2 linked regions of the Xenopus tropicalis genome follow. The protein of the gene in region 2 interacts with the protein of the main gene of each other region in a biochemical or structural test. Links are inferred from orthologs where the notes say so. Each region holds a gene or a part of one and is shown on either strand. Other genes may lie near its edges.

The links.
Region 1: the proteins of notch2 (region 2) and jag1 form a complex in vitro, tested with the Homo sapiens proteins (2 studies listed by BioGRID). The link is inferred for Xenopus tropicalis from reciprocal best matches to the Homo sapiens genes NOTCH2 and JAG1.

The regions. Positions count from the first base shown.
Region 1 is NC_030681.2:26,869,591-26,885,696, forward strand, and holds the end of jag1 (protein jagged-1), read right to left. Parts: intron 16,059-16,106; coding exon 15,945-16,058; intron 15,865-15,944; coding exon 15,751-15,864; intron 14,487-15,750; coding exon 14,373-14,486; intron 13,791-14,372; coding exon 13,744-13,790; intron 13,574-13,743; coding exon 13,400-13,573; intron 12,962-13,399; coding exon 12,811-12,961; intron 11,506-12,810; coding exon 11,341-11,505; intron 10,858-11,340; coding exon 10,744-10,857; intron 10,484-10,743; coding exon 10,370-10,483; intron 10,281-10,369; coding exon 10,167-10,280; intron 9,633-10,166; coding exon 9,516-9,632; intron 9,126-9,515; coding exon 9,098-9,125; intron 8,381-9,097; coding exon 8,295-8,380; intron 7,863-8,294; coding exon 7,749-7,862; intron 7,641-7,748; coding exon 7,531-7,640; intron 7,192-7,530; coding exon 6,958-7,191; intron 5,948-6,957; coding exon 5,816-5,947; intron 5,507-5,815; coding exon 5,356-5,506; intron 3,721-5,355; coding exon 3,263-3,720; 3' UTR 962-3,262; downstream 1-961. UniProt on the Homo sapiens protein: Ligand for multiple Notch receptors and involved in the mediation of Notch signaling. May be involved in cell-fate decisions during hematopoiesis. Seems to be involved in early and late stages of mammalian cardiovascular development.
Region 2 is NC_030680.2:117,935,698-117,952,303, reverse strand, and holds the start of notch2 (neurogenic locus notch homolog protein 2), read left to right. Parts: upstream 1-9,542; 5' UTR 9,543-10,035; coding exon 10,036-10,096; intron 10,097-16,606. UniProt on the Homo sapiens protein: Functions as a receptor for membrane-bound ligands Jagged-1 (JAG1), Jagged-2 (JAG2) and Delta-1 (DLL1) to regulate cell-fate determination.

The sequences.
Region 1 (16,106 bases), on a different chromosome or scaffold from region 2:
TCTGGCCAAGGAATGGGAAACTATTAATGCTCAATTGCCTAAAATGTGGGGTGGGTAATGCACAGCTGACACACAGGCAGAGAGTTTGAATCATCATTACCAGGAAAATCAAGATCATATGGGGCCTCTAGGTTATTTCAGAGCACATGGAATTCATTGTAGGGTTCCATTCCCTGCTGTAATCCCATCTGGCAAACAAACTCCCTATATAAGTGATTCACATTAAACACTCCCTCAGCTACCCAATCTCTTCTGCTACCTACCTGTAAAATATATCAAACACTTTTATATAGAAGGGAAAGGAAAACAAAAAAACATAGTTGCAGAGAAGGTAGATGTCTATTCTCTTCCGACACAGCCTAGTGCACCAAGACCAATATAATAGGAAGCAGAAGTTCAAGAGTCAGAAGGGCAAGTCATCAGTCCAGGGAGGGTAAGTATAAAGTGTTGCACAAGTAATTGTAACTTGCAACAACCAATCAGCAGATAGCATTACTGGTCACCTGTTTGGAAGCAAATATCGGATTACAATGGGTTACTAAACCTGGCAGAAATGACTTTCTATTACATTACCATCCAAAAATTCTGATTTAGTTGGAACCTTGTTTGGTCAGGTCTATTCATCAACAGGAATTGGAAGCAGCGGTGCAGAAAAAAAAGATATGGAGAGACATAAAGTCAATAACAGTTATATTTAGGGTAGAGATCCCCTTTCAGTTAAAATGACTGAGCTGTTTAACTATTCCAAAATATTAAAGAAATCTCATGGATCATCCAGGTGCGCCAATATAGGCAGGAATGTAATTTATAGCGAGCCATAGCTCCGACCTGTCCACCCATGAATAATATTCCCATTCATAGTCTGACACACTCACATCAGTCAAATGAGCCCCAATCATATGAACGGAGGCCCGAGTGTTTAGTGACCCTGAGGGGGGAAAATGAAAGGCACACTTCCAAATTTTCATACAAAAAAAAAATTTAATAAATATTTACTTTTCAGAATTTATTGCCAACACATCAAAGATGCATTTAAGGTTCATAACACTAATGTCACAAAAAAAACATGGTTTATTCAGGACCTCCATTGCTAACTGTTGTGATAACTAGATTCAGTTTTTGTTGCATACATCAATATAGCGGTAGCGCTAAGAACACCTACTGTAGCAGAGGGGTAGTCACGGCATTGCGCTGCAACACCTTGTACGCTCCGTCACTACTGCAGATGTTACAGAAGAGAATCTATGAGCACTCACTGACCAATTGCTTTAAGCCTATAGCCATTATATCAGCCCTGGGGAGTCACAAATCCTAATACAGACGGTGCCAAAAGGAATATCTATTCAGTTTACAACTAGTGGTTTTTGTTCTTATCTTTCTTTAATGGTTTGTAATTCAGTCAATCGTTATATGGAGATTTCTGGGGAAAAAATGATTTATATTTATATTAAAGCATGATTCCTAATGCCATAGGAAAACTTTGTTGTTCATAACGTATGCCAATATTAGGCAATGCCTAAATGCCTGCCCTACTATTGATTTACTACAGCCACCATTATCCATAAGTGCACACACTTTCATTCCAGATTTACAGCTGCCAATCTGAATCATATCTTTTCTTTTCACTGTGACCGTCAGCAATATCATGTTATGGGTCTATAGTAGTGTCGGGCATCCCAGGAACCACTCTTATAACAATTAGACAGATGCTATAGGAGGTTAAATAAGCTTATGGTGGGAATAATGGGCTCCACTTGTACTCAAAGTCCCTCCCCCAAAAATAAAGACTCCACTGGGACAAACATAATGATTATAGGCAAAATAAACTTGGCTTTTTTTTTTTTTAATATCACAAACTTTTATTGTTTTTGGTCATAGATTTTCTTTCTATTGAAGTTAAGGCAGGCAGTGTAACGTATAGGAAAGCAACAGTGATCACTCGACATTCTACTGTTCAAGTATTCAACCTCTAGCTTAACAGAATACTCCCCTAGTTTCAGTAGATTATAAAAAAAAAAGAACAAAATCATATCTACAAGTGGTTCTGTAGTTACATTTTCATTGTGGAAAAAGAATTTACAAACAAAAAAAAAACGAGATTACTGCGCCTCCACTTCCGCCAATTTGATTTCCATTGTCGTTGTCTCCTTACATGCACCGCCGCGTCCGTTCCCTCGCACCGCGTTGCAGCAGAATATCTGCCAGTCGCTCTGTTTTGTCCTTTTTTTTTGTTTTTTGTTTTTATATCAAAGCCGAAAGCAGCAAATATTGTTCTAAAGTCGAACTCTCGAAAAAAAAAACAGTTTGAGTCGGAACTTACAAAAAAATAGTTTAAGTGATACTATATAAAGGTGTTCTTTAACATTGTACAAAAACAGCATCGAGGCGTGTCAGCCCGTCCTATTGTTAAAAAATAAACTATTTTTTTAAAAAAAAAACACCTTAAATTTTGGCATATACGTAACACGGAACAAGAAATAAGTTCTGGGGGAAAAAAAAAAAAGCCGGAAGCTTACAAAGCTATCAAAAAACCAGTCAATTCTAAACATGTACATATAAATAAAAAGGAATGATATTTAAGGCTCTTGATTATTAAGTTAATAAATCAAATATACACAGTGATTAATAAAAAAAAATATTTACAGGTCTATACAAAAAAAAGGGAAAAAAAAAAAAAGATTGAAATTTCTTCATTTGACCAGCATCAGCTGACAGTCCCACCCGCCCCTCCCCCCCTGACACAATAACAATAAAAAAATAAATAATAAACTTAAATTTGTGATAGTTGCTGTGGTTCTGAGCTGCAAAGGCACTTTCAAATACAGAACTAGTTCTACGTCACCATAAAAACCGAATGTACGAATGTTTAAAAAACAAAAAGCTACATCTAAAATAAATATAAATTAAAAAAAGTGATGATTCTAAGATGGCGTTGCTATGGGGAAGGAGAAGAACTGAACGGAGAGATAGGAGCCGAACGCCGAAGGCTTTTAGCGTTTTCGCGGCGTTCCGGCTGCAGCTGAATTGACATCAGGGCACTTTTGGACTAGTTTTGCATAGATGTGAAATGCAGCACTTGGTATTCCAGCCAACCACAGCAACTATCATTGCCAGTGTAAGCCAGCTTGTCAAAACTTAAATTAACATAGGGATTCTAAGTAAATAATAGCCTTAGACTCAAATATTACACAACAGTTTAAGAACTAGTGAAGCTAAGCCCTCGGGAGCAGTCACAAGCTCTGCATGGCAGCGCTACATTCTGCTATACGATGTATTCCATCCGATTTAGGCTCTGTGCTGTTTCTAAGTCTCTGTTGTCTTGTTTATTTGTCCAGTTTGGCTGTTTGCTAGGAGTGCTGTTGGGCGGCTTTTCGTCTCTGTCGACCAGCGTGTACGCCGGCTGCTTGACGTATCGGGGCTTTTGCTGGTGCTTGTCCATGTCGTCCTCCTCCACCTCTGAATTGTGTGTCCTTATTTTTGCAATTTTGGAGTTTTTGTTTTCGTAGTCTTTGATCGGCACAGTGTTGGCCCCGTGTTTCTCGATGGGGTTCTTGATCTGGTTGAGCTGCTCCCGCACGTTGTTGGTGGTATTGTCTTCCGACGCCGTGTGAGAATGGCTGCTTTGCTTTCTGCGCTTCCGAATGCACCAGTAGAAAGCGGTCACCAGGCAGCAGACCCAGGCCACGGTTAGAATGGAGCTCAATAATGGAACCAGGAAATCTACGAGAGATCGGGAAAAAATGTTAATGCTGATGAAATCACTGCAGATTAAATGGGTAGTTAACCTTTTATAATGATGTAAAGCAGGGGTCCCCAACCTTTCTTACTCATGAGCCACAGTCAAATGTAAAAAGACTTGGGGAGCAACACAAGCACTATAAAAGTTCATGGAGGAGCCAAATAAGGGCTGTGATTGGCTATTAGGCAGCCTCTATGCACCTCTATCAGCTTACAGGGGCTTTATTTGGTAGGAAATCTTGTTTTTATTCAACCAAAACTTGCCCCCAAGTCAGGAATTCAAAAATAATTACCTGGTTTGGGGGCACTGAGAGCAACATCCAAGGGGTTGGTGAGCAATATGTTGCCCCTCAGTCACTGGTTGGGGATCACTGATGTAGAGTGCTAATCTGAGATTTCAACTTTTTTTTTTTTTTATTGTAATTTTAAAAATGAATGAGCTTTTGGTTCAGCTGCTCTCCAGTTTGGAATTTCAGCAGATATTTGGTTGCTAGGGTCCAATTTAACATAACAACCAGGTAGTGGTTTGAAAGAGAAATAAAATAAAATTGTAGCCTCGCAGAGCATCGGTTTCATGGTTGCTTGGGTCAGTGACCCTCATTTGATAGCTGTAAACTATAAAATAATAAAAAAGGAAGACCAACTGAAAAGTTGCCATGAACAGGTCGTTCTAAAATATACTAAAAGTTAATGTGAAGGTGAACAACCCCTTTATGGATGCTGACAGCCTCTTTGGGGAGTCTGGTAAAGCCTTTACTATTTAGCCATTCAGCTGCAATGCTACCTAGAAGGCTGGAATATTCCCCTCCTGCTGACCTTGGATGCAGATTTGTCTCAATCTATTCCCATAGTTAGAGTATGTGCCATAAACCTACAGGGTAGGTGCGAAAGACATTCCTCACAATCTCCTCAATGAATGAAAGTTGCACGGCCTAAGGAATGACGTTAAGCAGAAGATTTCTGCTGGATAAATAAAGGCCATGAAACTGGAAACCCTCAGGGATTATTTCTTTACTGTTTTATTATTCGCTAACTGGATATTCCGAGGTATAAACTCTGCTTGCAATAGGCTACAAGTGTAATGGGTGGAAACACTGCTATTGGCCAACCACCAGGTGAGTTATGCTTGGGTTTGGCCTAGGATGCACAGCCATATTGTGCAAGTGGTTGGGAGATCATCCAATATATCATCAATGTTCCAGGACCAGATATTTAAGTACCCTGGTGGGGGCATAAAAAATACAACAAAGGGCCACAGTTGGTCCATGGATCTACCCTATATTATTATTAACTGGCTTCTCATGAAATGAAAATTCCCTTCTAAACTGTTTTGTAGCACCACCGTGCCATTTCTAAGTAACTATTGCAGCAATTAGAGGATTTCCACATCTACTAAGCATCAGAAACAGCTGGCCAGTGACCTAGAATCTACAGACACTTGCCTCGTATGTGCATTGTTTTTATATAGGGGTTCTATGAAAGGGTAAGTTTTGTAACAGGTGACAAGTAAATGCTACCTGCTGATTAGTTGCTATGGGTTACTATGGGGCAAACTTAGTGCCTTTTATTACATAACCCTAATGATGTTAACTTAAATATACATTCATTGCAACTCACCTGTGCCGTTTTTGGCTTGTCGCCTCTGGACTCGAACTTCTGCCACTGAAGCAATGAAAGTGTTGTTGGCATCTCGCTTGCTAACAAGATCAATGATTCGTTCGGTGATGTCTTTAACTGGATTCCTGCCGTCTCCATTTTCCTCCACAGACTAAAAACCAAAGAAAAGATATATTAACAACCCAGGCCTGATGGATATCCCTTCCTATTGCTGCATTTAGCCTGGAGCATAACAAAGCTATGCTACTGCTGTATATGTCGAGTGTCTCATGATGGCTGATCATGCACATTTATAGCTCAAGGAAAATTGTAGTTATCTTGCAGGATTTCAGCTCTATAGGCTGGGAGAGAAGCAGCCCGAGCACTAACTCTGGCCAGCACTGTGCAGCAGAAGCTGTTTGCTTAGTGACTCTGCTGCAGCTATATTTAATGCAGGATATGTTCCATGAACGTTACTCACTATAGCCACATGGATCTCGTTGTTTGCTGATGGAGAAAGTTCACAGGTAATGTAGATGGAATATTCAGCGGAAACATTCTTCAAAATGTTGAGATTCCTCAGTTCATTGCAAATGCTCTCGGTAGTGAGTCCCTGATAATGCAAAACACAATAAAGCCATCACTTAACTGGATAAACAGGATCATTCTGCAGAACAGAATAGCATTGGAAGGATATGCCATTCCCATAATAAAAGATGTTGACTCGGCCCCTCCAGACTAAGTCTCTAGCTTATTGGCCCTTGTATGTTGCCCCTGCAATGGAACGTCTGACTGATATCTGTCCAAAAAAAGTCACCTGCCTTGAAACATTGGTACAGTCCGCTACTGAAGGGTCACCCTAACCCTCATAATCCAGTTGTGGTTCATGGGACCAATTTGGGATCATCACATTGCTGGCTAAACCAGGAAAATACTGAGGTTGCCAAAGGAGCCAATGTTCATACAGTGCCAGACTGTTACATACATAGGTAGAGTTTGCCTTTAATAAGCCAAATACTCAGCCAATATGTAGTGGTTTAGGTGACAAAGGGAAAATGAGAGCCTGAATAAGGGAAAGGGCAAAACATGGGCCTATTCCCTTCCCAGCAACCCATGAGAAACAATAAAAAAGCCTTCAGAATTACAGCCGAGCATTATTCAAAGGACTGTGTCGCTAGACACAACGGCTGGAATTTCCTCTGAGCATTGTCTATGGGAAAAAATAATGTATTGGCGAATATCTTCCCTAAAGCCGTTAAGGAATATGCTTGTGACTATTAAACCCTGGTTTTCCCATAGACACGGCTTTAAAAGCATTCCAGGAGTTTTGTCTGGCAGCATTGTTTCTACAGCAGTCAGAAGGGCAAATGACTGCGTGATGTGATTCTCAGCTAAGAGCCAACCAGGGACTGGGATGGATGTTGTTTGTAACCTGCCCCATGATTCGCCGCAACACATGATCTATTTGCATTGTTCGTGGATGTGTGGTTTCATACTGAATGGGTCAAGTAGCTGCTGGGAACTGCAAGCTGGAGTTTTTCCCTCCAACTGATGCCTCTCAGCTTTGGCAACAACAATAACAGATAAAACATTCAAATCATTGCTTTTGATAGTTTGACTTACCGGTGACATCATCTCCTTATTAAATGTAAAGGTGATGTTGGCACAGCTGGCATCCTGATAGCTGGCATTAGCGTTACACTTAGTCTTGACAGGCGGCTGATTGGTCGGCCAGCATTCACCCACCCCAGTGCAAGGGGGAACAAAGCAATGGTTGTCTCTTATTGGAACACAAGTCTGCCCAGCAGGGCATTCGCTGCTGCCGTGTATATCACAACGCTGAGGGCCACACCACACCTAGATATAGACATAACACAGGAGTTTAACACTCTAAGCTTTGATTGATGGATACAGACATTTACAAGGCAGAGCATAATTGCTTCACAGAGTACTTACTGCTAATCAGTATACATACATTATGGCCCAGATATTCCTACCATGGAACTACGATCACTAAATCATGCACAGTATTTGTGGTTGTTTTATTGGATTTATTTTAGATATAATATATGCAGAAAATTAATTCCTAAATCAGTATTGTTAGGTTTGGGGATAAAGGGCTTTTACACATGACCCCTGCTCTTATATCTGTAAGCAGCAAGACAAAGGCAAATACATTAGGGAACACTCACGTACCTTTGAGCATGTCACTTTGCCGTTCAGACACTGGCAGGAGTTGCAGTCATCATCCCATTTGGCCCCGTCTGGCATCATATGGCCATTAGTTATACAAGGCCTTCCTGTAACTGCACAAATGGTCGTGTTAGTATATGGCAATACCATCATTACCAGAGCAGGGCACAAACTGGTTATTTGGTAGCAGAGAGGGGGAGAAACACATTGTTTTTCATTACCTTCTTGGCACCTTGGACCACTACGGCCAGGCGGGCAGGTACAACGGTAGCCATTGATTTCATCTATGCAAGTAGCTCCAAAAGCACAGGGTGAAGATTGGCACTCATTGATATCTATAAACAAACAAAATAATCATTATAGAAACCTGTTTAACTAATGAAAAGTGCCTAAAATATCCTTACGGCTTATTGGCTGTATCAGAAGTTTGCAAAGGGGAAATATGAGAACCTTCCCTATTCAGAAAGGAGATTTCCGAGTTGTAATAAATAGCTAAAATAAAAGTTGCATGGTTAGCAACAGGTTTTTATAACCCACAACCAATGAGAAGGCATCATTTACAGATTACCTGTTTTTTAAGCAGAGGTTGCTATAAGTTATATGCTGCAAACCACTTTATTACTGTTTATTAATAACTTTTTCTGCCTGTTAGCAACTATTTAAATTCATTTAGTTAAGACGTTTCCTTTGACTCAAGGCCCCATGAAGGTTAAAGGAAGTTTCAAAACAAAGGGCAATCTGCCCAAGCCTTTTATTAGGATACTTACTTATCCGACAGTCGGGACCAGCAAATCCAGGAGCACATTCACATCGGTACCAGTTGTCTCCATCAACGCATGTCCCACTGTTATAGCTACGGAAGTGAAAGGAAGGGGAGGTATTAGACTTTTATCCTATAAGGCAAGGCCTCATTGCACCACAATACAGCTGACATGTCTAATCTGCTGCCCTCCAGCTGCTGGCCCACAACTCCCAGCAAAGCCAAGATGAAAGTTGTAGTTTCACATAGACTGAACAGCTTTACAGGATATCATATACTATCATTTATATTCTGTTAGCACATTAAGGTGAACACACACTGTGTGTGTATGTAAGAGGGTCTGTGCTTGTTAATTAATGGAATGCTTGGGGGCAATGGCTTTTGCACTTCATTCTTATGTCATATTATAAATTGTAGTCACAGGAGAACCATTTCCTGGCTATTAAACAAAATCCACTCCCCACTGGAGCAGATATTCCTAGGGATAGGATCATTTACTCATAAGCCTATCAGTGAGCGGTGGCTTATGGGTAATTTGTAAAGCAGGTGGAAACACTTAAGAGCCGAATAAAGCAAGTCTGACCCGTTCCCATGTCATCTGTTTAGAAAATGTGTCTAAACTGCTCTGCTTCTTAAAGTCTCATATTAGAGCTACAATTAGGATCTACATTACTTAAGCGCCTTGGAGTTTTGATTCCCAGCCTAACAAAGTGCTTGAGCCATGCATTGTCGCTATAGGTGAGCTGGGGTGTCTGATCTAGAAAGCAGCCTGGTACGAGGCTGACAGTTAATTTGTCCAGTTCTACTTACCATGGGTGAGGGCTGCAATCATTAGTATCTAGAATAGAAAAGAAATACAATTTAGGTGACTTTCTGCAGGAAGAAAATACTTCATTCTGTTATTAAATTCAGCTTAATCCCCCTCATTCCCCCCAGAAAGGATTGTTCCATTCTCCGGCAGACAGTGAGTGAAAGCAGGCAAGTTGTTGCCTTAAAGAATGTAGGAAAACACAGGACAACATCTGTCTCCAGTTACTTCATTTGCAACTTTCCCATGCCCAGGTCAAACCCTCTGTTCCATATTGTTATTTATAGAGAGAAGAAAGGGCTCCAGGTGATGCTGACGTGCACCCCTATTGTCTCCCAGTTTCAGGTTAAGGTATCGATACGAGGCAGGAGGGGGTTAAGTGCACTACCTATTTCCGAGGGAAACTTAAAGCAAACTTACTCTGGGAGCATGTTGGTCCTTCCCAGCCTTCTTTGCAAACACAAGTGAAAGAGTCCCCACGGACGACGCAAGTTCCACCGTTAAAGCAGGGATTTGGCAAACAGCTGCTGTTCCTTGCTAGGAGGAATACATTGCAAAACAAGCATGAAAGCCGAGCAGAGAAAAGCCAAGCAATGAAAGAAAGCAGGATGTTTTCCCCCCTTTATACATATATCATTTCTGCCCTGTGCCTGCGGTCGTAGGTAAATAAACATAGAGCCCAAACCGAGGCCCAGTTATAAAAAAAAAAAAACCCCGAACTGTCTCATATATTATAATATGGAACTCTCAGTAACTTGGCTGTCATTATTTAACCTGCAATTAATCGTGAAAGCAAGCTGCTGATTGGCTGCACAGGTCATGCCTGAATCCCTCTAGCTGCTGTGTACTATATCTCCCAGCAGCCACAGGGCCATGACCTTTATACCAGGCACTTTATATATAACAATATATGATAACATATTAGAAGTCACTCAGAGCTTGGTTCCTTTATATGCTCATGTTACTCCTCAGCAACCTTTTCATTTACAATTTCTTTAATAATACCCAATTATATTTCCTATATAATAAAGGCCAATAGACTGGTTACAAACTAGAATAATCAGTTCTTACCAATATTACATGTCGCTCCTTCCCATCCAGCAGGGCAAATACATTTAAAGGTATCTCCCTCATCATAGCAGGTCCCACCGTTGTTGCACGTGGCTTCATCGCACTGACTGTCTCCTGAAAAGAAAAATACCTCTCCGATGAATATCAGACATTTCAACATAAAATATCACACTATAAACAGCAGATAAGAAATCCACACTTACGGGAGTGGCAGGTTTTTCCTTTCCAGCCATTCTTGCATTCGCAGTAGAAATCATTAACCAAGTCCCGACAAGTCCCTCCATTGTAGCAAGGGTTTTTACTGCAGTCATTAATGTCTGAAAGAAAATAAACAGAACATTACACGGTGAGATAGAAATGCTGGCAAGGAACAGATGAGGTGTGAGTTCTGGGTTACCCATAGGGGCTTTATCAATTACTTACTGAAGTCAGAACACTCAGTGAAAACATTGGGTTGTAGCCCAGCAACATTTGGGGACTCTAGGGTGTTTACATGCCAATAACATGTCTCATTCTTAACACTACATTTAAGGGTACAAGCTCCGTTCTTGCTCACAAAGGGAGAAAAAGGACTCACTTGTTTCGCAGTAAATTCCTTCCCATCCGTCGCTACAAATACATTTGTATGAGTTCACGCCATCAATGCAGGTACCTCCATTTTTACATGGGTTGCTTTCACAGTCGTTAATATCTGCAATGGAGAACAAAACCTTGTATAAGTGCTTGTACTAAGTGCTTGTTAATTGAATGACTGTGTGCTTGGTTCTGCAGCCAGGTCTATGTATGTTCATTCATCAAGATGCATATTTAGTTTGACTAAAGGTGGCCATAGACAGCTAGACTTCAGATCCTGATTCAGATCCTTCAGACTGATTGGCAGCCCTCAGTCAGACGGTTCATAAAGCCACCATTTTAATTTGATCATTTGGCACCCATTATTGCCCAACTTAGGTGGGCATATCTGGAGAACAGGTTACCAAAAAAGCGGATCTTACAGTGTATGACCACCTTAAGTCTCAGTCTTGGCCAATATAAATTCCAGTCCTGTGTGTGTAGGTAATTAAATTAAATATTGCATTTTAGCCCCATCCCAGCAGGAAAGCCCAAAGCAGAGAAAAGCTGGTACGGCTCATGGAATTCCAATGGTTTCTAATAATGCAGCTCTGATTCTTACTTTCATGACAGTAAGTGCCAGTGAAGCCCTTGTTGCACTCGCAGGTGAATTTTCCTCCGGATTGACTCCTACATTTTCCATGGGGGCCACAGACATTCGAGGAAATGTACCGTACGCCTTCTGGGGTGCTGTTGGAAGCGACGGCCACTGTACAGCTGTCAATCACTGGAGGAAAACAAGGCAAAGGCCCATCAGTAAGAAAAAGATAAGCGCTGCAGGCTGATGCTTCTATGAGATGGCACTGGGATCAGGTAACCTACTCAGCTTCGGCCAAGCTTACAGCTGGGACACAGCCAAGAGTGTTTAGCTCTGTTTACCCACACGAGACTTCTACAATCAGAGCTGCAGTCCTCTATTCAGCAGTGGTTTTATGGCAAATGAGTTTGCAAGGCTAACACTATGCTAGGCTTGCACTTTAGAATGGCTATTCTTGCCTTGCAAGTGATATGCAAAGGCAACAATTGTGGGCTGTTATGGGTATTTTGACACTGTTTTTTTAAACACTGCTGTGTGTGTCACAGAGCTATGAAATACTGTTGACAAAACTTACTGCAGTAGTAGTGGCACATTCACCAGGGCCCTGAAGTGTAATAGATACCAGGTCCCTACTTTTGAATGTCCTACACTTTATGAGGGTATAGTGGACATAAAGCAACATGAATGTGCAGGGAAGTTATCAGAGGGAGCTGCCATACCTTTTGCTTGGACTGACAATAAAAACAGGACCACTAGATGTTGCTTAATATGTCACAGCCCCAACTCATAAGTAAAAATGTAAATTTTCAAAAAGGAGGAATATGCTGCACATGGAATAAACTTCACCATAGACTGCCCGTTTGTTGACAGATAATCCCTGTGCTTATATAGAGAGTACACTTTGCCTTTAATATCTTACTTGATCTCTCTGCCTGTTCTGGGAACTAACAATATTCATTTGTTTGCCTGACAAACCTACTTCCTATCTCAGAAATGTGACACTGATGCAAAGACAACTCGGCGGGATCGTAATTCAATCCCCCTGTCATAAAATTGGCAGTTAAGAGCCGGAGAATTAAAGCAATTTCTCGCTTTTTTTTTTTTTTTAATAAAGCACCCGTTTAACGTAACCACCTGGACACTGGCAGAACTAGGAGCATCAGAAGGAAAAAATACATCCTTATGTCTGCGTTTAAAGGGCAGAAACATGGTTGGTTCGAATTTTCTTTTTTATAGATAATGTAAAAGTGAAGTGAAGGCTGCTGCCATGCAGACGAACAGAAGGAAGGGGTTAAATGCATCCAATCAATAGCTTGACCTGTGGTCCCTTACTCTAACAACAGTCCCTGCCTTGCTGAATGTTAATGGTGAAGGGCACGGCACAGCTGGATTTTATTATCGCAGTGTGTGGTTCCCAATCACTTTGCATGATGACTGCCTTACTCAGCAGTGAAAGTTTCTGTTTTCGAGACAAACAAAGCGGGGTGTACGCACCTTCACATGGGGTAGTGCGGCAATGATCCTTTAAGTGGGAACAATTCTTGCCCTCGTAGTCTTCTGAGCAGTTGCAGAAGTAATCGGTAGCCAAATTAAAGCACTGGGCTCCATTCTGGCAAGGGTCCGGCTCACAGTAATCTATGTCCAACTGTAAATGTTGAAGGGGAAGCAGAAGGAAACAAAGGTTTTATTATTACCCTATTCAGTGCTTAAGAGAGCAGACACTGTGGAATCTGACCTTTCCATCTAGCTGCCTCCATTAATTTTACTTAAAGCAGAATGTACAGTGTCCTTAGCCTGGATCCAAGTGGATTGAGGATATAAAACAGCTACAAGAGCCAACAGCGAGCGTACAAGAAAAGTGAACACGCAAACATTTGTGATCTGTTTAACTGAATAGATCCGATTTCTCCTACCCCCTCCCAAAAAACACATTATTGGCAGACAGCTGTATGGGGTATGACTTTATAGCAAGGCTCGCTGAACATAAGGTATTTAGTGTACAAATCATTAGCAGTAAGAAGGAGGGGCCCTTGCTAGACATGAGCCATGTTATCTGGGGGGTTGCCATTTTAGCCGGACTCACCTGACAGAGGTTTCCCGAGAAACCAGCGGGACACAGGCATTGGAATCCATTGATTTCATCCTGACAGTGGCCCCCATTCAGGCAGGGATTGCTCACACATTCATTGACATCTTTCTCACAGCGTTCCCCTGCATAGCCGGGTGGACAGATACAGCGAAACCCATTAACCAAGTCCTGTAATGACAAAGTAGGAAACAATCACAAAACATGGCTTTCAGAGACACCAACAACAATAAGCATTGTGCTGGAGAAGGACAGTCCGGACAGCAGCACAAAACCATGTCACAGCTGTACATCACACTCCCGCCGGGTGATTAGAAGTGGTCAGAAAACAAAAAACTTACCCTGCAGGTTCCGCCGTTTTGACACTGGCCAAGGCAATCATTAATATCTAAACGAGGGAGGAAGAAAGAAACGAAAGCATATAAATATAGATGTCAAGGAAGGCGAGAGGCTGCACAGTGAAATGCATTCTGCACTTGAGTGATGCTGAAAGAATTTTAATCAGAATGGCTGGGTACAGATAGAGCTTTTGTTACGTTTCCTGCATCCTTTCCTTGAGATAACGTTGTTAGAATGGGTGGGAAGCCTAAGCTTTTCTCCAGTGCTCTTGCCTCAACTTCACAGCATTGTTTTATTTTTGTTATCAGAATAGGACCATAGGACAAGCGATAAAGCATTATATCGTCTTTCCAAACAGACAACACCCCACTTTTTGGGGGGAGAAATTATAACTAGTTTATAAATAGTGTTTATTTTTCTTAAATTTAAAGTGTGAGGGTGCAGTGCATTGTGTGCACCGGACGTTCCTTCCCAGCATGTATGCAATAAACGCCCATTGCCGTACTATTTGCTTGGCTGAGTCATTCCCCAATCTATGCCTACTAAAAAAATATATGTATAAAGGCTGAACATTCCTTAAAAACCAACAAATGGAACAGGAAATTGCAGAAAAGAAGTAAAGAGGACTTACTTATGTCACAATTCTGACCCGTCCATCCAGGAAGGCAATTGCAATAGTAGCTACCAATCAGGTTTCTGCAGGAGTTGGCATTTACGCAAGGTTTGGCTTCACACTCATTGGCATCTTAAAAAAAATGAAACAAATTTTTATAGAAATTTGAAAGGGTCCAAATGTAAATGTGCATATGGTATTTAGTTCTTTGTGGCTACCCAGTTTATACAGAATATGCTATATATAAATGCACACACCAAGCATTGGGGTCCCATATCCAAACTATATTGTTGCTAAAATCCTAGACATTGTCATTTCCAGGCTTCATGGAAAGCCAGACAGCCATGTTTGTCCCACCAGTACTGGATGCCCTGGGACTGGTTACAAATTAACCGTGAAGAGACTAGTAACTTTTTACTTGTGGGGCTGTTAATCTTTTACCCTTATGGGGGGAACCGTGTTATATTTTACCACCACGACTTATAAGGTTGCAGAGGTCAATAAGAGTGTTACAAGTTTGACCAGCAATAATTATTAGCCAGTGCTACGTCAATAACACTGGGTGGGCCTTTTATTATTTTACTATGCCCCCCCCCACTCCATTACAAGTAACCCAGCAGTGATGCTAATACAGACCTCCTATTTCATTTACTAGTAGCTGGTCACCCACTCATTAAGAACAGTAAGAGGCAATTGACCATTTCAGTGGAGAACTTCCTCTGCTATTGTCAGCCAGATTAGAGCGCTCCATAAAGAATGCAGACAGCTCATTCTTCATGAGATCATCTACATTTCGGAACCCAGCTGTAAACTGCTCGGTCTGTGGGAGTTGACACGGCTGAAAAGATACAGCGATTTTCCCACAGGACCAAGCCGAGGAGAACATAGGCTCATGGTGGAATGCTTTTCCAGAGCCTGATTAAGTTTAAGTGTTTCTCATATACTAGTTTGTTTATGGTTTAGCTGTTAATCTAATCCTCTAAGTGCCAGAGGCCTCCTGACAGCAAAATCTTTTTTCTAAACAGAAATCACAAAAGATTGGTAAGAAGGGCCTTTAGAAAATTCTACACATTTATGCTTCTATTTTTTTCTTCTCCTTACGGCAACTATTTAAAGCTTTATTTTCCTTGTAGCGAGTAACTAGGCAGATATAGATTTCTCCTTTATTAAATATAACTAATCCCTATGCTGTATCAAATTTCATGGAGCAGAGACATACATTAACAAATATAAGTATCAATTTTACTGGATTCGTGGAGCTCGGCACTGTAAGAGTCAACCTCTGTGTTTGTTGCGGAGTAATTTGAAGCACCACATCCAAAATCTACACATTTTGGATTAGATAACAGAAGGCATTGTGGGTTATAGCACTGCTGATTGGATTAAAAAAAATTACCAATTTGGCACGTTTTGCCCGTCCACTGAGAAGGACAAATGCATTTAAAGCCATCGACCAAGTCCTGACAGGTACCGCCGTAGCCACACGGATTGGGAGAACATTCGTCAATATCTAAAAAGAGAAGGTCTAGGTTAGAAGAGACTGGTACTGGTGGGAGACAGCCGCCAGCGTTCCCATGAAGCAATACGTACTGATGCTGCATGTGGGGCCCGTCCAGCCTCGAGCACATTGACATTCAAAGCCCACAGATGTTTCTAAGCAACTTCCCCCATTGTGGCAGGGATCAGAAAGGCAGGCATGTTCAGCTGAATTAAACAAAAACAAATAACTTTTAATTATTCAACGTTCAGGAA
Region 2 (16,606 bases):
CACAGACTTCAATAAATAACACTGCAAAGTCCATATTTTATTGCAAAAAACTCATTTACTGTACTTTTCTATAATTATCGCCTGCCTGTAGTAGGTGTTAATTTTGAGTAAAATTGAGTAAAAAGACACATACTTGAATAAATAACACTGTAAGTCCATATTTTATTGCCAAAAACTCATTTACTGTACTTTTCTATAATTTTTCGCCTGCCTGTAGTAGGAGTTAATTTTCGCATAGCCGAATGCGATATTTAGCACGCAAAAGTTTTAGTGAATCATGCGATCGTATTCTTTTCAGCGCGGTAAATAACGCATGCGGTAAAACTAGCGCGAGAAATACCGCATGCGAAAATAGCGATTTATCGCACGCGATAATACTATAATACTACCGCAAAAAATCGTGCGATAATTTTTATCGCACTTTAGTGAATCAGGCCCAATATCTAGCTAGTAATAGAGCATGGGGTATATTGGACCTTTGCTGTGTGGAAAAGTTATGTGTATGCGTGGTGTTTCTGAACTACACCTCCCACTGCCAGGTGTAAACTAGTAATGTAAAAGAGGGACACCAGCAGTTCTTTTGCAGCAAACTCGAACTAATAACTTTATTGTCTAAGACAATAGCAATGCACTGTGATCAATACTCACAATACAGATGGAAATGCAGGTATGCAGATACACAAGACTGCAGCAAAATCAGAGGTGCACCACTGCGGAGGACCAACTGGGTTAAGTAGACTTATGTCCTTAGGGTTTCTACCTTAAATGACCCGGATACCAACAGCAGACTTGATCAGGGAAATTACTCTAAGCATAATACCCTTGTCACTACTGCTGTCTCATCACTAAGACAGCAGAGGAAATGCCTTGCGAGGCAACTTTGGCGATTTGCTGAAATAGCCTGCGCAGCGTGTGCCATCCCACCGGCGAAAATGTACATTTTACATTACATTTTCGCCGGTGGGATGGTAGTTCGGGGAGATTAGTCGCCCATGACAAGGGAGTCACAAGACTTATGGCCAATAATGAACAGATATGTAAATATAAGAAAAAATACAAGGGCTTCTACCTAGTAGCTAGAGACAGGGAAGTGTAGGGTTTAAAGCCATAGGGGCATATTAACCCTATGGTCCCTACAAAAAGATTATCAGTCAGCAGAATAGTGTAGTAGGCTGGACATCACTAATATAGAGGCTGTATATTAAACATCAGAGGGTCAATTTAGTTCTTTCTTGCAGCAATACTAGCATGTAACTGCTCAGTGGAGCTGGATCCAATCTAAACTCAATCAGAGCTTCAGAACAGTCTTAGTTCAAAGCTCAGCAGGGGAAACAGCCATGTGGGCATGTTCCACATTATTAACTAAGTTCATTATGTAACTTGCTTTTTTCTATTAGTTTCTTTTGTTTGTTTAGGTCTGTAAGTATATGCATAAGAAAGAACTTTATGTATCAATAAAAATGTTGTGCCCTATTGTGCCATTTTGTATTGGCAGGTGGTGCTGCTCTCAGGTGCACATTGTTCTGTACTGGAACAGTACAAGCCATTTGCTCTTACATTGTTATCATTACTCTCATTGACTGCAATACCTGTCATGATTTACTGCTATATCTCAAACATTAAATATTCCTAGAGACTTATTCCTAGACTTATTGACATTTTTAGTAGTACAGGTATGGGATCCATTATCCGGAAATCTGTTATCCAGAAAACTAAATTACAGGAAGGCAATCTCCTATAGACTCCATTTTAATAAAATTATATTTTTTAAAATGATTTCCTTTTTTCTGTAGTAATAAAATGGTACCTTGTACTTGATTCCAACTAAGATACAATTAATGCTCAGTGGTGGCAAAATAATTTAATGTTTTGATTTTTTTAATAGACTTAAGGTATAGAGATATAAATTATGGAAGGACCCCTTGTCCGGAATACTCTGGGTCCTGAGCATTCTGGATAACAGGTCTGATTCCTGTATGGGAAACAGTTGCCCAAGTTTGGCAACCCATAGGAACAAACAAGGCCTTTGCTTTCAATATCATTACTGGAACTGGCCAGATGAAATCTAACTGTGGATAAGTTATAGTGACTTACTGGACCAGGGGAATCTTTTGCTCATGTTACTACATAAGCCCACAAGGGAAATATAATATTACTGTCTAATACCAGCCTGTTGTAAAAGTGAAAAGTTAAAAATGACTGCTTTCTAGGAATCTGAGGGGCAGCAACTTGTTTTACATCACTGCTCTCCTCTTACAATGGCAGGACAATCAAAACCGTTATTGCTCTTTTCTGCATTTAATGGACAAGGGGCGCGTGTCCCTACACGTTACTCCTTCTCTATCTCTCCTAACATCAGTCCCTGAGCTTCGTCTTCCCCTGTTACTAGAGATACTTTCAGCATTTTAGAACATCCGTAGCACAAAGAATTTCTTCTTTCTTGGAACACCTGGGGCATCTTTTACTTCCATATCTTCCTTTGACTTGTCTCCACAGCCTGCCACGACTTGCACGCAGATTCCTTGCACCTATTCAGCACTACCTCTGCAGGGAGTACACACCTTCCAAAAATCTGCCACCTCGGGGCTCTGTACCAATCTGTCTCCTTTTACTCAAGATGTCTGAGGACCCAAGCCACTGAAAGTTGGAGGATCTGGAAGAAAACAGAAGAGGGAAATTGCATAATTATGGCTTTAATGAGCCTGATATTAATATCCAGGAGACTGGCTGCAGAAATTGGCTCCAGTTTTCATCCCTGCCCTTGCCCATGGTCTGTGTGCCATGGCGGTTCATGGAGAGTTCACAGTACTTGCCGTTATATGTATAATAGTAGTGGTGCTGTTTGTTTGCAGTCTCTGTTTAACCATTTCACACCCAGACATACAGACCATGAACGCTTCTGCATTTATGCTTATTTATTTGTAAAACAAAATTTCCCCAAAAAAGGAAAATTAATCTGCTTACAAACTCTAGGCCTTTTATCAAGTCCCATATCCCCTATACTATAGGAAGCCCCCAGCCTAGACATAATATATATCTGTTAATACTTGTGAGCATGCAGTGTCAGACTGTACTTCCCAACACAAATAACAGAAGAAATCCTTTATCCAGAAACTCTTTATCCAAGAAGCTCCAAATTATGGGAAGACCATTTCCCATGGACTTCATTTTAATCAAATAATTAAATTTTTAAAAGATATTACTTTTTCCTTTATTGTAATAAAACAGCACCTTGTACTTAAATATAATTAATCCTTATTGGAGGCAAAACAATCCTAGTTATTTTAAACTTAAATTTTATTTCAGACTTTAAGTATGGTGGTCCAAATTACAGATCTCTTATCCAGAAAACCCCATGTGAGCATTCAGGTCTCATACCTGTACTATAAAACATGATGGAAGAAATACAGTTCATCCAAGCAGAAAATGCAGAATTATATTGTAGTTTTCAATAATCTGTTTATTTATGCTATATTGGTAAATATTATGGTGCAGTTCCAGAATCTAACTGCTGCTTTCTTATTAAAGTAATCTCCTTAATTTATAATACATTTGTATTTATACCAACTTAAACTTTTGACACATTTGTTTTTATACCTGCTTTAACTTACAATACATTTGTATTTATACCTGCTTAAACTTATGACCCATTTCCTTTGATTTACTTTTACATTTTGTTTCACCCTGCTACATTGCACGAGGTAATATAAACAGACGCATGCCTATAAAGATCTGTAGATCGTTCCTGGCAGGACTGTAGCCTTTGGGTGTGGTTGAACTGAGTGTCCTTTGCCAAGCGTGCTTCAGAGGCATGCAGACTGGTCATACTGATTAATGACTAGTTCTTTTCAGATGGCTGGCATTCACACAATGAGTAGTAGTTCAAAATGGTGTGAACTATGACTGCCAACCCATTTCTTTATTGATCCCTTAATGCAGATAGGATATCCTAGAGACCCCTAGAAGGCTGAAATAATGGCCTCCTCTTTATATTGCATATGGGCAGGTGAAGTCCAACCAAATCACTTCCTCTTTAAGCCACCATTTTTCTCCATAGCTTGGCATTAGCTTTAGCCAGTAATATCACCTATATTTATACCCATATATTGATGCTATCTAATTATTTATATCCATATATTGATGTTATCTAAGTGTCCACAGCATTATGCAAATTAGCAGACATTCCTGTTAGGCTAATGCCACACAAGCTAAATCTCAGTCTGCGGATAAACACAGGCCAAGAATCAGCTCCAACGCTGGACATGTGCCTGCACCCTGAGCCATTGCATTGGCCTTGGTGCCGGCACATGGAGTGGGTTTTGGAGCCCAAATGCATACCTCTCCGTGTGACTTCATGCAGGCCAAGGTATTGGCTCCAGGTGCAGACACAGGGAAAGGCTGATTCCAGTGTAGGAGCTGATAATCAGCCCCCTGTGGCATAAGCCTTATTGTCACTGCTTTATCCACTTGATTAAAAGTGAGTGCCATATTGTATGATGCTTTGCTTCCAGTTTAAAGGATCAAATAAAATCATTTCATTACTAAATCCTAAATTGTCTAGGAGGTGTACCAAATTCCCAAAATACAAAGTGTTTTATTAGACCTAGCTTTAGCCCTATAACCCATCACCAGCCTTATCACCAATAAGTCATAAATGTTGCATTAGGTTACTTGACCTGGCGCAAATTTTGCTTTCTTTATTACATTACCCCTGACAGAGACAGGTGGTCCCATGGCAAAGATCCCATTGGGGGTCCCCTGAAGCAAGGGCAGCCATCTGGGTATATGATATGGGCCCCAAAGAACAGAGTCTTGAATTGTTTAGTATGGCACAAGGGGCCTAATTATTACACTTGTACATATACAAACTGAAAAAGAGATTCAGATTCATACCATCCATACACCATACTACCATACTCCATACTATCACACTCATTTTAATGCTTAAGCTAAAGAGCGCTGTATATACTGGGCCTATCTCCTAGTACCTTTTTTTGTTATACTAACTTTGTTATTTTATATAGTTTGTACTATTTCCGTCCCAGAAGCCAACACCATGATTTTATTCTTTGTAGTAGAGAGAATCTCACATTGTTCATAACAATTTTTTTTACAAGAGACCATTATTCATTTGGTTCATCCATGCAATGTCATGTGTGCATTTTCTAGGACTAAGAATGTATTAACTGTACCTTGCCTTCCGGCACTGTGAGCTGAAGGGGAGCACAAAGCATTTTCCTTTCCCTGAAAACTCTGCTAACTGGAGGGCAGTGTTTTGGTTGGATTAGGGTCATAACCAAATGTATTTTGTTATAGGGACAGGGTAAAAGTAGCCTGCATCTTGTTTATGGAAAACTATAGGGGTCATTTACAACCCAGGGTGGCATAAGAGCACAACGCTTAGTGCCCATTTAAGAGCACTTATGCCCCCAGGGTTGTTCCTCTCAGCACAAAGTGGGCAAACAGTGGGCAAAATACAAAAAAATTGATGATTGTGGCCTTTTTTTTTTGCAAATTATGAACGTCCCCTTGTTTTTTTTTGTGCTATCAAATAATTTACCATTGTTCTCTGCCCCTCTGTGTCGCTGAATTTAAAGTTAAAGTCAGTAAACTAGCAACCAAAAACTGAATTAATGGTGAGGATAAATGTATCGCCAGATCTAGTAACCCATAGCAAACAAGAGTCAGCTGTCTGAAAGCAAACATCTGATTGATTGTTATGGGTTGAGTAATCCTAGTGCCAGTTTTATTACATTACTCAAAAGTCTATATATGCCATGCTGCTGCAAAAGGTTCCATGGTTTAAACACCAGCAGCTAAGTCCCCCAGGACTATGTAAGATCCCCTTGTCGCCCAGCTTCATGCAGACAAAGTAAACCTAAAACATGAACTCATTCACAAGCCAGAAGTCTTAATAATTTTTTTGGGCTCCTACGTTTGGGGTTTTGACATTTGATCCCTGCCCCTTAGCTCTTAATAAGATAACAAATTTATGGAAACAAGGTCAGAAAAGCCATTCTATACTTCTGGGGATATACAAGAAAGTAAATAAATAGTAAATCAGACTTTCAGACTGGGCCTCCTACAGAGTTTCTACCACTTTCATTCATGGACAATACTCCCCATCAACTGCAACCGAACACTCATCGGATTTGTACAACAGAGGTAACACTGGTAATTGAAAATAAATGAACTCAACTGACAAAGCTGCCCTTAATAAACCTGAAGGAGCTCTAAAACATATTCCTCATAAAATATGTTAACTTAACGCCACTGCCTTGCAGCACCTGGTACTGAGTTCTATTCCAGCCCCAGTATATGGGTCAGCGGAAGTGTGGACATCACATCAAATATAAATAGCACTGCCTTGCGGTGTGGTTCTGTGACTCCCAGAACCTTGCTAAGCCTTGCTGTCTCTGTTTTACTGGTTTTGACTCTAACCTTTTGACTTTGCCTCTACCTGACCCCTTTATACCACGTTCTTTCGATCAACCTTGGCCTTGGGTGTCGGAACCTTGATAAAGGTCCCCCAATGGGACCAAAAAGTTGGAATTTGCAGCACGATGGTGAAAAATATAATCCCTATTTACAGAATGTGGAGTGCTGGTCTTCTATTCTCCTATATATATATATATATATAACTTTGCAAAAATCGGCACTCACCAATCCAGAGGCAATGGCTGGGTGCTAACCCAAATGACTCCTGATGACGATCCTGAGTGGATTGAAATGCGTAGATAGTATGCTTAAATAAATAACTGATTTTTTGGACACTAAAGCCGTGAGTGCTTTATATTTGTGCTGGATATATATATATATATTTAGATAGATATTTTGTGTATATATATATATATATTTATACAGTATATATGCTTACTGGGCAGTGCAGTGGAAATAATGTCACTTTTAGGGTGAATTAATAAAAGTTTTCAACAGGCCTAGTGATTTATAGCAACTAATTAAATGTTTGATTTCACAAAAGTGACCCTTACATTCTGCTGCTAAATTGCTATGGGGTTGTAGACTTGATATAAGGACTGCATCACCCCCCCCCCCCCCCCCCCCCCGACAATGCATTAATGATATCCTGCTTAAATCAGGATTTTGCTTTAAGGCTGTAGAGTAAATGAAATACGCCCATGCTAAGAAAACAGCTATAGGAAGGAGATGTAGCCTGACACCTCACTGTATCCGTTTTTCATCACCATTAGGATTTAATATAATGCCGGCCAGACACACAAATACTAATTCCCATTTGCCTGGCCGGCATTACCTTAATCCTCATCTTTCATGAATCCTTTTAGTTCTGTCTCTAATTCACCTAAAATTAGCAGGGCTTCCCTTGCTATGAACTGACTGCTTGCAACATTAGTGTTCTTCTTAGAAGTCTGTTTGTACTTCTGTACAGAAAGAAGCAGTAACAAAAACAAACCATCCAACAGAAGCAGGGAGCACATAACCAGAGGGTGTTGCAGGCTGGAGGACATAATCACGTGTGGTGTGCTTCTGAATATGCTTATATATTAGCACATGAGAGAATATGAGACAGTCTTTAGATCTGGCCTGTAAAAGACAGTTGATTAATGGCCCCATTCTGTCCAGCTGCTCCGCAGATGTTTATGACATAATAATGCCAATTAGGATTTGAATATGATGCATCATGATGATGAGAAAAAAAAAATATTTGACAAGAAAAGTAATTGCTGATCGCTGAATTATTTGTGTTTGTGTGCAACCTGCTATTGTTGTGTTGTCCTAGTCACCAACTTATGGTCTGCTAATAGGTTACAATAGACCCCCTGGGCACCACTGGCATGGTTTTGCCTGGGTATCTACCTATCACTTATGAAAAGGCCCTAGACATCAGCCATGGGTCTGTGTGGCGGAACTGCCTTAGGTGCATATACTAAACTGAGTTTAATAGTATCCAGTCTAGCCATCCACTCTATATAAGTTTTGTATGACTTCATCTATTTAATGGGCTCCAGCCTGTGAACATGTGGGTATTACAAATAATCAGCAGAAGAAAATGAAAAAACCAAATATACAAGGGAAATCTGTGCTAGCTTAATCTCTGGGCCTAACTATTGTTTATATGCCTTCAGGATACAAATAATCCCAGCGAGGTATGTGGTGGTTTTGGGGGTGCATGACACATAGGGTTACCCCTCTGGCTACTATGTTATATAAGAGTCACATTTGGTTGAATTCCAGCACATTTTTCTTGTTCATGAGAATCTACTATGCAGAATTATGTATTTGCTGCGTCCCTGGTAAAAACAATCCTTTTGGGTTCTACACTTAAATGTCCCACAGGGAGATTAGTCGCTGCAATTTTTAAAAAGCAAGTTCCAGGGACAAGTTGCTCATCTTGCCCCGCGACAAATCTTTATTACCGCAGGCAACTAATCTCGCAATTACATCCCACCGGCAACAATGTAAATTGCCAGTGGGATGGAGTATGCGTTGCTACGATTTCCCAAAGAGAAGAGATTTCAACAAGGGATCAATTCTATTTCCCTCAAGTCGGTGCTTCATAATTGCCAGTGTTTCCAATGGGGAAATTTGCAAACAATCGCAGCGACTTCCCGCCCAATGGGTTTTCCTTTGAGTGATTCCATTAGTTTTAAATGGCAATGCTTTCTTTGTAACATCGCTCAAAAAAGGCTCTCATAGTGATTCGGAGCGATATGTGATTTGGAAGCAGTATCGTCAGTTCAGGTACTGGAGATTCATATTGTTTATTGTTCTTTATTGAGAGACAAAACAAGACACACTGAGCTACTAGTAGTAGCTACTTTTTCACAGCTACTAAACTCCAGAATATACCCTGCCATAGACAATAATGTGAATTGCCACTGCTAAAACACAAATAGAGGCAATTACCAGTAAATGATCAGCATTGTCTATTTTGGTAGCAACAACAAGTAGCTACTACTAGTAGCTCAGTGTATCATCACCCTTAGCCTTAGGGCTCTGGCACATGGGGAGATTAGTCATCCGCGACAAATCTCCCCGAGTTGCCATCACCTGCCATCCCACCGGCGAAAGTGTAAGTCGCCGGTGGGATGGCACACGTGGCGGCACGATTTCGGGAAATCGACGAACAAGCCTCGCGAGGCAACTTCGGCGATTTGCCGAAATCGCGCCACCGCGTGTGCCATCCCACTGGTGAGATTAGTCGCCCGCGAACAGGGAGTTTTGTCGCGGGCGACTAATCTCCCCGTGTGCCAGAGCCCTAAAAGTATTGTTGGTGAGTGTGAGTTCTGAACACTGTTAATTATATATAGATATCTCTAGACATCTGGTCATTCCTAGAATGGATTTTGACTGGTTTTCCCTATTACTAGTCAGATTAGGCAGTCTGGTTGTGGGGCAAAGCCATTAGCTTGCCAGTGCAATCTGTCTGTATGAGTTAGAAGTGTATGAAATGCGCCTGAGAAGTTGCAGCAGCAGCAGCAGCAGCAGGAAAGAGTCTGCACATCTGCCTCCTCCCGTGGGCCCGCCCCTCGCTCCTCCCCCTCCCCCTCAGCCCTGAGCGAGTAAAGTTCAGCTCAGTCCCAGCGCTGCTCTGGCTCTGCTGCTGCTGCTGTTCTGCCTGTGCCCATTATAGCCTGTGGATTATTATACTACCCGTGGGCGATCTCCTGCGTCTCCGACTAGCAGCTGCTGCGGCACGGAAGCGCTCTGGATAGGCGACTTTTTATGGGACAAAACTTCTGAGGGCGCCCAAGTTTCATCTTCTTCTTCTTGAGAAGGGAGGGGGCAGAGAAGGCAGCGCAGCCTGCTGTAGCCAGAAGCGCACTGAGCGGCTCAGGGGGTTTGGGGAGAGCGGCGGAGGCTTCTCATTGCACTGACCTTGCTGGGAGCATCCTGGACCTACTGGAATTACTGATGATCGCAGCGGCGGCCGAGTACCAGTGAGCCGCAAGTCTAATGGCTCCTATGGGCAAAGCATTCTGAGATCGGATTGGGGATTTTGTTGGAATTTCTAACCCCGTTGGCTGCTGGTTCCTATGCGGATCTGGAGAGGAGATGGGGGCGCAGTATGTGCTGGGGCTGTGTGTCCTGCTGCTGGGGATGCCGGGCTGTGACGGTGAGTCAGTAGTGGGTGCCCGGGGGCTTGTGGCCAATACCTGGCTCTTACGGGATGGGGCAGCCTGTCAGCACTAGTACGGTAGGCACTCAGGGCTCTGTGGCTACTGGCCAGTGTCTAGCTAAGTACATAGCAGCTTTACAGCTTGCTGTTAGGGACTCCCCGGGCAGCAGTGCCACATGCCCAAGGGTCGGGGACACGTGTGCCAGTGAGTCGGTGAGTCGGAGCCTAGAGATGAGAGGAATCTGTGTGGGCCATGTATTTCCCTATAGTTACACCGACCGTCCCTCCATTCTGTCCGCTCCTGTATACTATGCGCTCTGCTTGGCTCTACAACCTTATAAACTACAACTCCCAGAATTCTCTGAAATCTTGAATTTGAGCTCGCAACTTCAATTACTTTATGCGCAGAATAGTTATGTCCCGCCTGTATCCTTGTAGGAGCGAACTACAACTCCCAGCATCCTCAGACTGTGACCTGAAGGTCAGTAAACAGCGAGAGGGTGACTGGCTGATGGTTCTAATGTTAGAAATGGGAAATATGTGTATTTTTTAGTTAAAAAAGAGCTGTTCTGGTGGATTGTAAACTCTTGGGACTGAGCATTCAGGGATTAATAAGGTTCTTTTTGTAATTTGTTCACAAGAGGCTATTTTGCCGCTGTCTGGCATCCTCATATGTACCATGGTAGCCTGAAGGATCCTTTGGGGTATCTCTACTGTGCAGTCTAGCTGGGGGGTTCCTTAGTTTGTATCTGTTGATATGTGGCCCCCCAGCTGTTTTAATATGCAATCGACAGCATCCCTGACAATTCAGTTAGAACCGGCTGGAGGGCCACAGGAACATTGCCAATCATTGTGTTGTTCTTATGGAAGCTCTGATAGGGCTGTGTGGATTTTGGACTGGCACCCTGGCAACCTCTGTGGAATTTAGTCTGGACAAGGAAAAGCTGCAGTGGTTGTTGCTAGTTGCAGAGATCGCAAGGCAGTATCAGAGTTACAACAGGCCAACTTGTGGCCTTATAGATGTTTGTGAACTAAAACCCTCAGACCCCCCTGTCAGCCCTTGGCTGTTGATGAGATGTTGGGGATTGTAGACCAGTAACATCTGGAGTACCAGCACTGGTATAACTAATCAGGAATGCTTCCCTGCAGAGCTAGATTTATTTATGTGTGACTACCGACAGGCACCCGTCCCTACAAACACTGCACTGAGACGTGTGTAATTTAGGGTCATCAATCAGAGGGGAAATGTCGCCTGTCAAAATGACACCAAATAAGTCTGCTTAATGTTAAAGGGATTGAAAAGCACAGATCCTGGCTTGGCCACTAGATTTTTATCTGTACTAGTCACAGACTGGGGGAAGTTTCCAGGTGAGTGTGCCTTTGTCATGGGCTGCAGAAATTGTTGACTTTGTATTAATACAATGTATCCATACAGAAGGAAATTAGAAGGCTGTAGGAAAAATAATGTTATCAAATATCCATATATTTCATAAAGCCTTTAGTTACAAAGAGCTGGCAGGGGAAAGAGAGGATGCTATAGCCAGTCAGAAGTGATATTATGGCTTGATTAGAAATACGTCCCAATATTATTATTAATAAGCATTCTGGGAATTGTAGTTTAGTAACAATTGGAGCACCAAAGAGGCAGATTGCAAGGGTAGAAGTGATATTAAATATTGCCATGGGAATCCCACATATGGGACTAAATATTCAGTCTAATGGCTCTCCCAAGAAACAGTATTGCTGCAACCTCTATACCCCCCATTACTACTGTGCTACCACCATTGCTTTTTGGCACTTTATCATGTAGTTATTTGTTTGAACAAGACTCAGGTATTGGATGTCTGAATCTCTAAACGCTGAGTCCCCTTGCATGGTTATTTGCAGCATATGAATAAATATGAATAATTAGAGGAGGAAGAGGAAGAGGCACAGACCAGATGAGAAGAAGAATGACACATTTCCAGTAAACGAGATACAGTGCCGAGCTGTGAATTGTATTCTTGTTCTCGTTACCGAGGCATAGGCAATGAAAGGAAGACGCAGTTTTATTTTCTTTCTGACCGCTGCCATTTCATCAGAACTCTTGCCTTTAATGTAAGGGCCGAGAAACAGACAGGGCTGTCAAAAAGTGCCTTCTTGGGTGGGACATTTGGGGGAAGACAAAGGAGCCATTTTCTGTGCGTTTGCACAATGTGGAGTTTGTATGATGGGCTGTAGTTCCTCTTTGAGCAGTTTCGTGTTTATGCGTTCTGCTCAGGAATGTTTGCTTCTACTACTTTACGGCCTAATGGCTTTCATGGCTGCAGTCAGTGTGCCAGCCAATTGGATTGTTCCCTCCAAAAGTTGAATATTTATAACATGAATTATATAAAAGTGCTATGGAAACTAAAAGTAACAACTTAAACATTAGGCTTCCACAAACATCTAATGCTACTGGGTACTCTGGGAGTTGGGGTTCAATAACAGCTATGCACATGGAAATACATTAGTATCATTCATTTTTTGGGTGCAATATAAAATTCTGCCCGTTTCTGTGGTCCTTCGTTGAATAGGAGGCATCCTGATAACCTTTGGCTATGTCCAAGAGACAGCCATAGGAGAACTATACTTGCCAGCATCCTATGACAATTTTTGCCATTCTGGAACCTGCACCCCCAAGTCCAAGTGAAGTCCCACAGGCCTGATTAATTTGGGAGCAATTTTTGTTTAACAAGCAGTTTGAGACAACGCTGAATATTAGCAGTAGGAGACGTGGGTTCACAGGGTGCAGTTATTGCATCCGGAGCACAATGACCAAGAAAAACAAATTACTCGCTGATGGACAAAGTTATGCTGAAGGAAGGATTTCCTTAATAAGCGTGGATAAGGTGCAGTTTCCTACACACATAGCACTATTTGCACCCTGTATAATACTTTCCATCATGCAGAAAGATAAGAGGCAATAACATCTCTTCTTACTGGAAATGTATATGCTGTATAAGGAAAATGTCATGATATATTTCCACAATGGCACTACTACAGTGGTTTCACATAACCCTAATGGGGTTTGCACATGAGCAGCAACCCATAGCAACCAATCAGCAGGAAGCATTTACTGGTACCCTAATTAAAAACAAACATCTTATTGGTTGATGTGCATTAAAAAATTGCTTAGATATTGCTTAGAAATTTTATTATGAAAAAAAAGGTTTTTTGGCTGAAAAAATGAATCTTTCAGAATGCATGTGTTTCTGAAAGATTTTTTTGAGCAAATAAGGTATTAAAATTGTGTTTTGGAACAGAAGCCCACATTGGCTATTTGTTAGCTCCATGTGGACTGCCAGCCTGCCAAAGTCTGGGGATAAACACAGGGGGCCAATCTGCCTCTACACTCGTGCCTGCACCTGGAGCCACTGTGTTGGCACATAGAGTGGACTTAGTGGCAAAAAAGTTTCCACAACTAAATCCACTCCGTGTGCTTGCACCCAGGCCGATGCAGTGGCTCCAGAAAGCAGTTAGGGATGTAGGGGCACATTCTCTGCCTGTGTGAATCTGCCTGGTGTGGCACTAACCTTATGCCTCCAAAACATGCTTCCACACAAGGGGCAGCAATGCTCAAATTTGAATTTTTGGTTCGATTTTTTTGAGCTAAAACACATGAATTCAAGCTGATTATAACTTTCATTTGAATTGAAATTAAAACTCTAAAATTCACAAATTTGAATAAGCCTCTATATATAGGATCGACTGCAGTATTAAAGTGTGGCAATCAACATGTCCCTTGTGAGCCACCGGTTGGGATCACTGCTCTACATCCTACAGAGACTTAAGAAAAAAAGAATCAAAATGGAACTAGACATGCACTGAATCAGTCATTTATTTGGATTCATGGCGGCAAAAGATTTGCACAAATAACCATTTGCTTTTTTAAATTTGCAAAAAAAAGATTCCATCAACAAAAACTTCTTGCATTCAGTTCCAGATATTTCAATTCACATGATTAAAAGGTTCAGATATCCTTTGTCTGAACAACTCTGAATCCTGCTAAATATGCTAGGATTGAGCTAAATCCTAGATTGGGCACATACCTAAATGGATGACTGCACCTTTAAACATAATTCCTTGGAAACTTTTTGCATATGTTGACCCCATTGTTTCTAGGTATTCATAAAAAATGAGGAGTTTCTGGTCACCATGTTGCAACTTACCTTGGAATATAAGCCTATTTTTTTGTTATGCCTATAAACAGCATTTCAGAATATGTTTGAGATTTAGAAATAAAATCTAATACATTTGCCTTGTAGGACATGTTTAGAATAAGAATATGGCAGAGTATTGAACCATCTAGGGCTCATTTATTAACAGGTGGCAAGCTGCAGTAACCCATAACAACCAATTGGCAGTTTGCTTGTAACAGAGTAGCAGTATGACAAAATTAGATTTTGGACTGGTTGCTATGGGGTATTACAGCAAGCCATATTTGCCCTGCTTTAGTAAATAAGCCCTTAAGTGTCTCTCTCAACAAGTCTGATACAAGCTTTACTTTTACTAGAAGTATCATTGTACTGTAGTGAAAAGATCCAGAACATGTGTGAACTAAATGTTGGGATGAGGGTGGATTTTCTTGGCTCAGCACTTGTCACTGCTACATTCATGGAACATCAACTAAATGAGTTTCCTTGGTGGCTAACAGAACTGAGCTTTCTCGGGAGCGTGTCTCTCTCTATCCCCAGAGGGCTGCACACAGCAAACTGTTTTTTTGATGTCTGGGCTCATGTTGAAATAAAGAATAATTAGTAGCTTTTGGTAGGTGCAGCCAGAATATTTTTGTAATAAGATCAGTCTAATACAAATTTGGGTTTGGGATGTGGGACACATACAAAAAGTCATTAGAACAAATGTATGCAGAACAAATGCATCCCTTAAATTCTCCAGTACAGAGATTATTATACGCTTTCCAGTGATCTCCTGACTGCTGGCAAAGGTCAGAATCCAATATGTCTGTCTCTCGGAAGCTTTTGTGCAGTCGTCCGCTTATAAGTGCTGCTTTGATAGATAGTTTTTGGGGTTGAGAGTCTGTGTTGACAGTTACATGAACAGAAAGGTAGAAAGGTCTAGATAACTAAAAGAACTTGGATATGTTGAGGCTTAATCAGCACAAATATATTTATATATAGTATATTGACTAGCAGTATAGTATAATTAGATTTTGGACTGGTAGCTATGGGGTATTACAATAAGCCATATTTGCCCTGCTATATATATATAAGAACACAAAATTGTGTAACCCCTCTTGTAAAATTTGACAAAAGGGTGTAAATTATTTGCTGTATATAGTTTGTATCCATGTGTTGGGATGGCATACACTGCTTATGTCTCTATAGATGTCAATGAATAGTGCCCTTAGTGGATAATATGTAATGAGCCTTTATGTAGGAATAAGCTCATATGGCTAATGCATCCGACATGCTTTTGTGTATTGGGGTGGTTCTCCGTATTAGTGCCATATTTTAAGTCTACAAGACAAGGCAAACATTAATCCCTGTGAGCTATCATGTCATGTAATAAAGTGTCATTACTTGCTGGTTAAGAAAAAAAAGACTGAATAAATTCCATCACATGACAGACTTAAGAAGGCTTTACTCTCAAAGCAACGAGGATTGAGTTAAGCTGTTTAGAGGGGGTTTGATAGTCGGCAAAGTTCTCATAAGAAGTGAACTATAAACTGGATTTCTCTCAACAGTAGAATAATGAAATGGTGTAATGCTTGGCCGGGGCAGGGTAGGATATAGTGAGTCATACTGAGAAACAGGCTCTTAGAAAATATTCTTTAAAGGGAAACTTAAGGGAAAAATAATTTCATCCCACAAGACAAACCAGTGCTATAATATGGTAATTTTGCCTCATTTGCTTTCCTGAAGGGGGTCATTTTTTACCCTTTTGCACTATATTACATGTGTATGGTAGAGTAGAGCCATTCTATTGAAACATTTTGATTCCATTTCTAGAAAGTACTTGATGGTAATTACTGTGCAGCCACATGGCACTGACAAGCCAGCAGCCTTCTGGTGGAAACCTGTGCCCGCCTGGCCAATCAGTGGATAGCCATTTGGAAGACAAGGGCAAGCATGTCTAAATTGAATTTGTTTTATCCCATATTGATTGATTTTGAATTCAAAACTGACCAATTTGTCCAACAACATTGAACAGGTTATGGCCATGAATCAAGGGAGGTACTTGGAGATGAAGTACTGGCAAACTGGCAAATAATAGGTTTTTAATGTCTGTACAGGTATGGGATCTGTTATCCGGAAACCCCTTATCCAGAAAGTAACAGAAAAGCCATCTCCCATAGACTCATATAAGCAATTCTAAATTATCACATTTTTTTCTGTAAAAATAAAACAATACCTTTTACTTGATCCCAACTAAGCTGTAATTAATCCTTATTGGAGGCAATAATGTATATAATGTATAAATGATTTTTCTGGAACCTGGAGAACAGGTCCCATACCTGTACAGAAG